Linked DNA regions of Arabidopsis thaliana. The protein of the gene in region 2 interacts with the protein of the main gene of each other region in a biochemical or structural test. Each region holds a gene or a part of one and is shown on either strand. Other genes may lie near its edges.

Evidence for each region.
Region 1: the proteins of RKP (region 2) and ICK5 form a complex in vitro, tested with the Arabidopsis thaliana proteins (one study listed by BioGRID).

Annotation. Positions count from the first base shown.
Region 1 is NC_003070.9:18,364,794-18,368,936, forward strand, and holds ICK5 (Cyclin-dependent kinase inhibitor family protein), read right to left. Parts: upstream 1,952-4,143; 5' UTR 1,782-1,951; coding exon 1,488-1,781; intron 1,370-1,487; coding exon 1,317-1,369; intron 1,232-1,316; coding exon 1,046-1,231; coding exon of another isoform or gene 1,042-1,045; exon of another isoform or gene 969-1,041; coding exon 899-968; 3' UTR 543-898; downstream 1-542. Other genes in the region: PREP2 (presequence protease 2), read right to left, coding at 3,612-3,756, 4,015-4,086. UniProt on the Arabidopsis thaliana protein: Binds and inhibits CYCD2-1/CDKA-1 complex kinase activity. May target specifically CDKA-1.
Region 2 is NC_003071.7:9,363,393-9,371,633, forward strand, and holds the start of RKP (uncharacterized protein), read right to left. Parts: upstream 6,070-8,241; 5' UTR 5,731-6,069; intron 5,552-5,730; 5' UTR 5,437-5,551; coding exon 3,952-5,436; intron 3,841-3,951; coding exon 3,034-3,840; intron 2,922-3,033; coding exon 2,761-2,921; intron 2,631-2,760; coding exon 2,492-2,630; intron 2,322-2,491; coding exon 2,238-2,321; intron 2,129-2,237; coding exon 1,847-2,128; intron 1,769-1,846; coding exon 1,637-1,768; intron 1,474-1,636; coding exon 1,274-1,473; intron 1,190-1,273; coding exon 976-1,189; intron 902-975; coding exon 554-901; 3' UTR 1-553. UniProt on the Arabidopsis thaliana protein: E3 ubiquitin-protein ligase that promotes the ubiquitination and proteasomal degradation of KRP1 and KRP2.

The DNA.
Region 1 (4,143 bases), on a different chromosome or scaffold from region 2:
TTCTCTTCTCTCTCTTCCTTTTTTGTATTCTTGCCATTTAAAGTTTTAATTTTTTGCCGTAAAGCTCATTTATAATTTGAAAATTAAATTTCAGAAAGAAAAAAAAACGTCAATCATCGAGAAAGCTTTCAAATTTGCTTCTTTTTTTTTGATAAATAAACATTCAACTTTGTTCATAAAGTTTTCTTGATAAAATAATAAAATAAATTATTTCAAGGAAATTAGAGGAATATTCATTCGAACTATAGAGAAAGTACATACCAAGTGTATGATATATATATACCGTTATGGTTTTCTAATTTTACCCATTTTCCTTAAAATCTATATTTATTTTCTTCTTCCTATTACCATTATTGTTTCACTAAAACAATTGTCGAAACAAGAAAAATAAAAAAGTTATAAAATAGCATATAAAGTACAAGCAACAAAAAGAAGAGAAAAAAACAATTTCTATAAACATCCAAGGTGAGAATCAAAACAATAAATAGTTTTCCAAATTCATAAATACGTAAATCCTCCCAATTTCATGAAAATACTAATAATGTGCACAACACCAAATTCACTACAACAAAACTGACAAAAATTAGTGAAACTTTACTGACACAATAATTCCAATTTTTAATTGTTGTAACCCCACTTTTTTTGTTGAACAATCCAACAATATCACCGAGACAGAGAGAATTAAACTCAAATATATGTTAACACTTCTAGTTAAAAAAAAAAACTCTTGGTACGAAGAACAGATGAAGATAATGATGAAATTAAAATTAGATAAAAACTGTACAATGAAATGTCTCTAAAAATTCTTCTGTCTGTGACAAAAATCACAGTACTAGGACGTGTAACTTTAGCACTGTCTCTTCTTCTTTTTCTTTTTTTTTTTGTTCTTCCATGGCTTCTAAGGTTTCAGACTAACCCACTGGTACCGACCTTCAAGCGGCGTATCATTGACGATGTCGTAGTTGTACCTATACATGTTTTAAACAACTGCAAGTTAAGGATCTCTGCTATCATGCGCGTGTGTGTGGGTCTAAAAAAGACTCACTTTTCTGTGAATCGTTTCTGTTCGTATCTCTCCGCCGCCGAGAAAAAGTCATCAAGCTCTGCCTGCGTCGGTGATTTTTCCATCTTCTTCTTCTTCTCCGTCTTTCTCTGATCTCTCATCTCCGTCGTCGCCGAGTCCATTTCTGCTGTTTCTCCCAGATTCTCGCTTGATGAAATTCCCTGTTTCCTGTGAAATTCCAAAAATTATGAATTTATAGACGAAACAATGAAGAAATTGAAAAATCTTTGAAACGTCTTTTTTAGTAATTAACCTGAAATTGTTGGTGAGTAACGTTGAGATTTCGGTTTCGGAGATTTCATGAGCCTGAAAACGGAAACAAAATTAATTAATCCAAAAAAACGTAATCAGATCTTGCTCAGAGAGCATTTATTGTGAAACAGAGAAATTTCAAAATTTGTAATCTCGAGTTTCGAAATTTCACCTCCAGATCTGAAAATGGAAGACGAGTAGCGATTTCGTTAGTTTCGCTGCTGGAACAACCAGAGCTGATGCTTGAGCTTAGATGATCGTCTTCTTCTTCAGATAACGCGACGGAGCAGAAACCTCCGGAATCTGAAACCGAGTAAGCCAGAGAAGAAGAGGAAGAAGAAGAAAGAGTTCTCGTCGGTGAGCGTAAAACGTCATCATCATCATCGAGTCTCATCCTCTTGATGTTTGATCCTTCGTACTCAGAATCTCTCTTGGGTTTTGTTTCGCTCATTTCTCTCAAGCTCATTATAGTTTTCTCTGGAGAGAGTTTATGAAAAAGTTGGGGTTTCTCTGGTTAATAAAAACAGAGGAAGGGTTTTGGGTATTTGGGGGAGAGGAAGATGAAGGATCTAGAGCCGTTGATTAATTCAACGGCTGAGATTTAATTATTGGGCCTTGCCTATAGCGGATGGGCCGTTGTTGTGCCGGTTTTGAGTGGGGTCCTTTAAACTGAGTCCCGTTCACGGGGAAGCAGGTAACGGCGTCGTTACGGAGCGTAGACGCCGTCGGGATTCTAAACGACGCGTCTTTTTTGCCGTTTTTAGCTTCCTTTTAAAGCAACCCAAAACTAAAACGTCGTCCTATAAGCTGTAGAAATGTGAGTTGTGACAGTAATTTTTGTTAATTAATCTACTTTCTACTATAGATTTCTTAAACTTATATTCTTTTACACGTAAATACATTTGTCAAAACAAAAAAAATAATTCTGATGGTTGCTGATTCATAATTTCTATCATAAGCTCTAAATATCAACTTCTTAAGGATATAACTAGGCACATAGATTAGAGTCTAAAGCATTCACTTTCTTATGAGCAGCTTCACATGGAGACAGAACTATAAATACAATCAATTAAATAGTACTTATTAAATGACAACAACAAAAAACCAACTTAAAATCCAGCTTTTACATGGAATCTGTACATGTCCAAAAATGGGTTAAGAATTTTACACATACAACATGTTTATTTCCTTCTAATAAAATGGGACCATTTTCGTTATTTTTTGGCAGTGAAATAATGAGCAATAATTGACCGTTACATAATAATTGTGCTAACAAGCATTTACTTGGGATTTTTTTTTTTTTTTTTTTAAAGTTACACATGTACAATATCGAAAATATGAAATATTAGAATCTAGGCTTCATTTTGCAAAAAATAAATAAAAAATAATCTAGGCTTCAATTGTCCGATTCTGCTTCTTCAATAATTTTAAAATTTATCACAAGAAAAAAAAGAAGACTCTTCGTTAATTTTCATCCATAATAATGATGTAATCAGAATTTTCAAGGATAATGGTAAAAGGATGAGACGAAGAAGATTCATCAATACAAGTATCTTTGTTTATGGGCTAATTTACAAAAGTTATCTTTATGAATCAATGTTAATAAAAAGTAACTTTAAAGACTAATTCACTTATAAAAGTAACATAGAGATCTTGATGCCAATGTCCTAAAAGAATAAGCGTTTCAATTTCACTTGGAAATGTTTAAGACCTACGACCTACTTCAAAAACACAAACAAAAACAAATGAAGCATGAGTAGTCACATTAGATAGTATGACAATAACAAGATCACGACACATGATGAATAATAGATGCATCTTTTGTATGACTGAGAGCCATTTGTTTTAACAAGAACAGGCACTGTTCGATCCGATCCCAGCCAATGATGAATATAATGTCTATTTTGACTCATCATTTTCAACAAAATGTGAATCAAACGAAACTGGTTTTATAACCTAAAAGGTACAGGAAAATCCTCGAGAGCTTATCTTGATACGATAATGGAATATAAATAGAACTAGGATTCTTAGTTCTTAAAGAGCAAAGGCTAAAACGAAAGAAAAATTGTCCAAAAAAGTAACAACTCAAATGCAACAGTAGCTAAAGCCTGTGTTTTCAGGTAAAAATGCTAAATTTCAACTGTGATAAGTCATGATGTTGGCATATATAACTATACAAAACACAGTGAAGTAAAACACAAATAAGTACGAGCTTAGAGATTTGATGCGTCGTACCGTGAACCTAAGAAGAGTCATTCCTCATTGTGACAAGCTACTTTCTAAGAGGGTCTCAGACTCAGAGAGCTGCTTTCTTCACCTCGAAAAAATTTGAGCGTTCTCTGTTTGCTGCATCAATGTCTTCTTGTGATGCCACGGCCACTGCAACGCCTTTATCACTAACAGAGTCTATTGCCTCTGCGAATTCCTTGAAGTCCTTCAAACTGAAAAAGGATAAAATGGAAGTTACTTTTCTTATCTGTTTGATAATAACTATGTCGAAGAATTGCAACTGGCTATTTGGTAATATTCAAAGAAGTCGTTAAACTCCTAACACTACAAAACTCAGATCACAACATTGTCCCCAAGGATTTCATAAATCCCCACAGGATATCCGCGGCATACCATTATGTGGAAAGTGAAAAAGTTGTATAAATTGATTTGTATATACGCTAAAGCAAAAATGAGAGAATGCTGTTAACCTTGTAGATAATATCTCTTCACGCCTTATTTGCCTCTCTTCGTCGGTTACATTAAGTAAATGCCTCAACAAACTGTTGATAGAGATGGGAAATTAGATTGAAATTCATTACATTCCTTGAAAAAAAGCC
Region 2 (8,241 bases):
TATAAAGTTAAAAGAGTTGAACCAATAGAAAAAATATTGCAGAATACAATCAATCAAAATAAACTACATAAACATACATTATGCAAAGAAATTTGAGAAAATTAAATAAAATACAACAAATAAAACTTATTGAACCAAAATTTTATCAGATTTTTTTAGTTTAATGAGATCCTATAAATTTGGATTTTGAGAGTATTAAGTGAACAAAAAAACAAGTGTAAGTGAACCTAATTACGAACCGGGTAACCGATTTACTGGTTTAACCCACCAAATCCGCTGTAATTCCAAAACACACTGTTGAGAAAAGTAAGAACCCAAGCGAAACAGAGAGCCTTTAAATAATTTCCATTTCATTCTCATATATACAAGAAAAAAGAGAGGCCTAGAGATCACAAGACCAGGTCTACAAAATTATCACAGACCTTTGTTTGTTTGTGTTTTTTCTTATTTATCCTATAAATCTATATAATCCTTCTTCCTTTGCTCCCATCCTAAAGATCTTTCCTTCTGTGTCTACTACATCAACAACCTGTAACCGCAACTAACCCGAGCTTCATGTGCTTCTTTTGTGACCATCATCGTCTTCTTCTTCTTCTTCTTCTTTATCTCTTATAACATCTATCACCGTAGCATTGCAGAAAAAACATCTCTGACAGTTGAGAAGATGTCTAGTTATGCAGCCATAACATGATCGATGTGAACACGGAGCAATCATTGCATTAGCCTCCCCCGCGTAGCAGATACAGCAAGTGTTGTCTTCTATATCTGTCGTGTCTTTGTTGAATGACTCTTCTTTTCTTTCGGGTTCTTGCGATGAAGCCCGGTTTATGAGATGGCTCAAGAAGTTCTCAAGCTGTCCAAGTTTCTTTACATAGGCATCATCCCCGCTTACACAACCGTCCTGAAAATGTTTTTGAAAAGCTGTGTCAGTAGGAGAAGCAAACGAGCAGAAACTAGATTTAAGAGCTTACGTACCCAATTATATTCCAAGAGATACTGAAACCCGTAATAGACTGTATCGGGACAGTCCATGCTTGCGAAAAGACCAATTACATCATGTTGTTGCTTTGGTTTTGAGTCTTCACTAGCCTCCAAGAGATTCAAGATTATACCAACCAAAGGAGCTAATAAGATCCCTCGGCTAACTTTCTCTGAAGGTTGTCCCTGCCGTCTAAGTGACCTGACAGATCTCAAAACAAGAAGAAAACAATATCAATTAAAAATTAGCGATTTCCAACAAAGTTAGAGCTATTTGGGATATTTTTGAACTTACAGATCAAAGAACTCGTCATCTACTGCTGAGGTCATGTGATTCAAGATGAAAAGAATCAACTCAGTGAGCCTACGAAGATTCGTGTCAGTCCCAGCAAGAAATGCTTGTGGCATTGCGTAAGTGCAGAATTCTAAGACCCTTGCGAGATTGCTTGAAAGCTCAAATATCACACAACATTTCCTTTGCTGAAACTCCATTACCTGCATAAAGACAAGACGAATCAAAAACCGGACAAAGAAGCAAATAGAGTACTACAAAAACTTGTAAGGGAAATGCAGAATAAGAACCACAATCATTCAGGGAAAACTATTCAATTACTACGAAAACTTAATCGATGAAAATGATCCAAGCTTATAATCTGACCTGATACTTTTCTTGCATTTCTCGCACCGAGACAGAAAATTCAGTGATGGTCCAGCTCAGTGTGTTGAATAGACGGTTAAGAAAAGTAGAAAGTAATTCACCATCATTGATACAAGCATCTCGTAGAAGCGCCTAGACGAAAAAGAAAATCAAAATCCAATATGTAGACTGAGGATCAGATAGGAACAAAGTCAAATCAATCTAACCAACCTGGAAAACAGTAGACGAAAACGAAGACTCTCCGTTCTTTAAAGAACTAAACCCAGAACCTTTGCAAAGACGAAGAAATATATTTGTGACAGGGATCCAAGATCTGTTGTCAAACGCTGCCAGTAGTGCTGCAGGCATGTGTCGAGTAGCTGCCTCATTGTTCTCGAAAGCTTCCAAGTACTCTTTGTACTGTACCAGGACGGATATTGACTGGAGAAGTAGATCTTTAAGATCTGTATTCGATATCCTTGAATCGTTGAAGTGTGTAACTACGAAAGTGATCTGGAAACCCAAGAATTTGCAATGACCATGTTAGAGCTAATCAACTAACAGTCAGCCATGAGGAAAAATAACAGACAAAAAAGATTGTGTGATAAGAGTTTAGGCATACAAATGATGAAAGTCCTTGTTTGATGAATGTTGTTGATGGGACAAACGGAGGATCGCTCTTGCGAAGCACATGGAAACAGTCTACCTGAGGAAATAATCAAAGAGATTGTAAACTTAGGGATTTCATTGAGAAACAGAGAAAACGCAACAGAATAAGTTGTTGGAAGATCTACTAACTTTGATCAAAGAGAAACTGAAACATGTTCATTTGACATTTATATCAAGAAGTACCAGAAATGTGCAAAAGCTGTTTACCAAAGATTCAAGGTAGAACTCTGGAATATAAACAAACACAGAATCCATTTTGCTGAGAACCAGAAGTAGCTGTACAACCCACATGCACAATGCATACATTCCCCTTTGCTTCCATCGAGAGAACAATGAGATGCGGAACCTGACAAAATGATTCAGAATGAGGGCAAAAATATAGATTGTAATGTTGCCTCACATGAATCATAACTGAAACCTCTTCACTACACCCTCCTTCTGGAGTTAACGCAATCCATGAGTTAAGTGAAACTTACCATGCGGAATGTCTAACACAGTCCATCACGTCTTCTTTGTAGTTGTTGCGAGCTTCCTTCAAGCGCTTTATTTGGTCACAAGAAGCCCGTTCTCTTATCTGTTTATCAGTTTCTTCAAGAAGTGATATTGATTGCGATTGGTGAGACATGTAATATGATGCCTAAGAAAAGCAGAAAGAGAACCTATCAGCCTCTCAAGCTTATTCAGGTTGTGGTATGTATCGTACAAAAAATACAACAAAATCTAATTAAGACGGGAATAATTAAAATTACCTGCTTAAAATTTGGAGCAACAGCAATATGGTATAATAGCAATAGAGCATCCAATAGTTCTTCTTCGCTTAGTATAGCAGATGAGATTCTACTCTCTTGAAGTGCAGTCCGCATAAATCTTACTGGACGATAACCAAAGTCAGGGTCAGACTGATTACTTGTGCTAGGTTTGTCGTCTATTTCTTCACTGAAACTTCCAGCACTACATTCTGCAGCAACATGAGAGGATCTCTCAGGAATGGAACTGCATCGACCACGAGAACTTTGAGCAGTATTTTTTCCTCGATCCTTCAAGGATTTAGTAAGATCGGTATCATAAGCTAAGCAACAGCATGGCTTTTGCTCAGTCGCGTGAGTTACTCTATTCTGTTCATCATCCATACAACCTTCTTCCCACCGCATTATTTCTTCTTCTTGATCATCTGTGGGGTAGGACTTCGATATATGACTAAATAGCCCGCCAAGCCTAGTAATATCAGCGCGATGTGGATCATTTTTAAGAAACAAACTCAATGGAAACTTCTGCTGACCACCTCTGTGAAGAAAACCAACATTGTGATGGACGGCTTCACTACTCTTCAGCATTGCAAAACCTTCTGACAAGAAGTGGAGTATAACTGAGAACAAAGAGACAAGAACCGAATTGCGTGTAACTCCAGAAGGGGCCAGAGTCCTATCTGCGCCTCTGTTCTTCAATAAAAGGTTCTGTAGGAATCCCCTGAAAGCTGAACCAGGAAGCTGGGGAGGTGATACAGGTGGTATGAATTGTATGACCAAGAGACAGAGGTTCCTCTGCTTCTCCTCAATCTGAATTCCAAGAGAAAGAATTACTTAATTATGTTCCTCAGATTCCAGAGGAGACTTATGCCAGCGGTTATTTATAGAAAAATAAAATAAGTCAGAAATAACCTATCATACCTTGTTAATGGCTTCAGAGAGAGCGGAGATCGTAAATCCCATGCTACTCTCGTAGGATATATCTTCAGAGGATCCAGGCCACCAAACAACAGGCATTAAGTGCTGTAAGTCATGCTTGTTGGAACTCCTGCATGACAAGAAACCTTCAAACAAAAACTCGAAATGCAAAGATCTCCACCATTGTACCATCAATTCTTCCCGTTTAAACAAATGACAAGCCAGCGCCAGATAGGGATAAGGTCCGGAGTATGGACACTCGGTTAAAATCAGTGTCGCTGTTTTGCAGCCACAAGCCAGAGCGTTTACTACATGCTCAAAGATCAAATGAGATTGTGGGAACTCAAGAAACACATCAAGAACTTTGTCTAAACTTGACGAATCATGCGGTGCTTGAGTTCTGAAAGTCTCCAAGAGGAATGACAGAAATGCACCCCGTCCTAAGTACTCCGCCAACAAAGGGTCTTGCTCAAGTATATAAAAGAACTCATCACATATGGCAGACGAAACAGGGCAAAAGAGTTCTTCGACTGAGGCAAATCTCCTCAGTCGACTTAATGTATCAGCCAATGAGCGGTCTGGCCTATCCAGCAGTCTTGAGAAGCATCGTAGTAGCTCTGTTGCAAATGAAAATCGAGTTGGAGCTTCTTGAAGAGGTTGGAAACCGTCAACAGGGTACTTAAACGGGTAAGCGCCGAAATTTAACTCGCATCTCTCACCTTGGGAGAGAGATATAGCAGGGTAATACCCAAATCCAGGTCCAAGTTTTCTAATACCAGTAAATGCAGCCCCGAGGGAGACACCATTCCTGTAGAAGTAAATCTCATCACAGTTCAAATCTATGCAGCAACCGATGACATCCCCAGCAACCCATGATTGACCATAAGGTTCAGCTTCCTTGTTCCATTTGCTTACCCTTCGACCATCAAAAGCATATGAATCATCAGCATCACCCACACCTTTCTGGTCAGTGAAAGGGCAAGCAAGTGTTGCCCATCCAAGTTGTTGAATTCCCGAGGTCTCTAAAGCGACTTCATACATCCATTTTCCTTTCCAAATACAAGCATTAGCCCTGGCGCTACTGAAAAGTGCTAAGCTCTCCAATACAAGAGGTGGCTTCACAATCCTGATATCACCACATATGCTAAACTCTTCAAGGCCAACAATAGGAGGTCCAACACCATGATGAACTACACTGATTCCTTCTCTCTGACTAACTGAAACATCCAAATCACCATGAAGCTTCGAGAACTGATTCTTAATCACAGCTCTAATCAAGCTACTGTCTACTTGACCATCCAATGGACCAACCGACTTTTCTGCTAAACCAAATATGAATTCGATAGTCCGTTCTAAAGGCCGGTGACCAGAATAATCAAAATGTGGAACAATACGAGCTTTCGAGGAATTTTCTTTAGCATCTTCACCATTCAGTAAAACAGCCAAACCAGATGAAATCATACCAACCCGTAGGCTGTCTTCAGCCATATGGCATTGATTGTGAACCAAACGCGCTTTCAACACAACCAATTACAAGAGAACCAAAGTCTGTATCTATTCAACGAGACCTCATCAGAGACAATTCGAAAATGATTCAGAAAAGCTGTGAAGAGAAGAAGAACAAAAAAAAAAGTAGCATAAGTTTCCAAAAATCAATACTTGAATCAAAAAGCTTTCAAATTTATGTGATGAACAGGGATTAACAAAAAGAGAAAGCTATTCAATTTCAATCAATTAGAAAGAAAAAAACACCAAAATCAGAACGGAAAATTCGAAACTCACCGGAGAAATTGACATGAAAAGCGATTAACCCAGAAGCCAAAATCAATCAATACCCAGATTCTTCAAACCAAAGACGGCGGACTTGTGCTAGGGTTTTTCAAATAAATTAAACAGGAGAAGACTTTTCGCTTCTTTTTTTTTCTTCTTCTTCCTCGAAGAGAGAGAGAGAGAGAGATTTTGCGCCCAATATTTTTGGGGGAACAGAGAAGAAGAATTGAAGAAAGAGAGAGAGAGGAATCAGAAGACCGGTGGCTAACACCGAACGAGCCAATGGATCATGTGGCGTGTGGGTTTTTTACCGACACGTGTCGGTGTCGATGACGTGGCTGATGACGTATTATATCGACGGTCTGGTCTGGTAACTTTTATAGAAGGAGAAGGAGGAAAGTTTACGATGCGGACGGTCTTACGTTTATTTTGACACGTGGCGTAGTAGATGTTAACGTGTTCTTAAATCAAATTACAAAATTACAAAAAGTAAACAACGCTTTTTAATTTTTCTCCTTCTGTTTTCTTTTTTAGTGTTAACATTATGAGATTTGTTTTACTGAAGATATTTCCTGTTATTTGGATTAATCAAAAATAACAAAAAAAAAGGTGCTGTAAAACTTAGCAATTTAAAGGTAAAGTTAAAAGAATGTTAGTATCACCACTAACTAAAGAAAAAATCACAAAAATAATATGGTATTGTTTGAATATTCTTTTTTTTTTCATTTTAGTGTTAGTATTATGAGATTTTCGTGTAAAATTTTTGCTAAAAACATTGTTAAAAAAAATTAGTTTTGTTTATCGCTTTTAAATAGTTATTATTTTTAGTTTAAAAAAAAAAAATATTATTGTTTATTATCAAAGATGATTTGGTTTCGACTACCCGTGAAATTTTCGAATGTGATTACAGTTGTCGAATAGCGTATTTACTGTATTTTATTTAAGTGGATCTAAAATATGATATAATTATGATTAATCTAAAAAGAAATGTAAATTTAAGTTATATATCACTTTTGTAAATAATTTCTCTCGGAATTATTTTTTTTAAGTCCTTAATAATATCTTATGACAAAAAAAAAAATATGAATCTAGTTATCAGGTTTCCTTGGTAAAGAAAAATTTAGATGTAAGTTTCCTATTTGTAGATTCTATAATCATAACGGGTTTCACAAACAATTATAATACTGGTATCATTCGTTGACAAGAACTAATAATAATCTGGAGTTGACTTAATTAGAAAACTTTATTTGTAAATCAATTGTCAAAAGCCATTCGTATATTCTTAATACATTATGCAAATTAAAGAAGAGTGTTACTATAATGTATGCACGAAAACTATTCAAGTGGATGTAAAGACGATTGAAATCGACGGAACGTGACGGAGCAGTTGTTGACAAGTCACCGGAGCTTTTGCAAACTTCCGATAGACACACGACCTTGTCAACGACCTGAGAGTATAAATAATTGAAAATATCAACTCGATCTCTAAACACACCACGTGGAAAGCTATGAGACCACTGTCGGCTAATGACTAATAAAAGAAGTATCGTGCACGTGTTCCACGTTGATCAACAGCCACTTCACTGGCTGATGTCTCTGTTATTCAGATAGTGACTTAAGACGGCATTATATTGTCTTCAAGGGAAATATTAAAACGCTGCGTTTCCGTGTGATGGAATAATTTTGCAACCGTTGCCACTTTTACTTTTGGGAATTTGGTTGAACAGCAACTTGTTTTTTTTTTTTTGGTAAATATTTTTGGTTGAACTTGTCATTCAATGTAGCAAAACTTAGTAAAAATGCTACAAAACATAAAGATTTTCAAATGTGCCAAACCTCAGCTCTATGGACGATTTCCCTGTTCTAACTATACTAAAATGCATAGTTTTGGTGTAGTGATTAACAAAAATATGTATGGAATATAATCATGATGATAATGATAATGGTAAGATTATGCTTTTACTTTTGATTAAAAGCTAGTGATATGATTTGCCTCTTAATTTGAGTAGATGATTTTCAATGTTTGGTACTATTTTCATTGTTTTAGTGGGAAGAAAACAAAGAGATTTGGTGTTCAATGTAGCGTTAGTTAAGTAGATGAAAAGAGATACGTTGATGCTAATGATGATGTTATGATGTTTGATACTTTATATGTTTAATCATCATATTATCATTAATATGCTTTGTTTAAATGGTGATCTTTATGCTCTGTTTTGGCTTCTACTATATATATATGCTGTATTTTTCTATGGGAAAGCAAAGCATAAGTAACGACAGTTGAAGTCCAAGTAAAGTACTAGATTGTTTCATGCCCATTGTGCAAGAGCCATATTTTATTTATTAACAAAACATCCAACTGAGACTGGAGATACATAAAAGCTTGGAACATAATCCACTTTCAAGTGTTTGCTAACCACCGAGTGAGACAATGAACCAATATGTTATCAAACAAATGTGATAAACAAATACAAATTCTCCAATCGATTAGGCAGAACCGCAGCATTAGCTAGTGGATAAATCAAG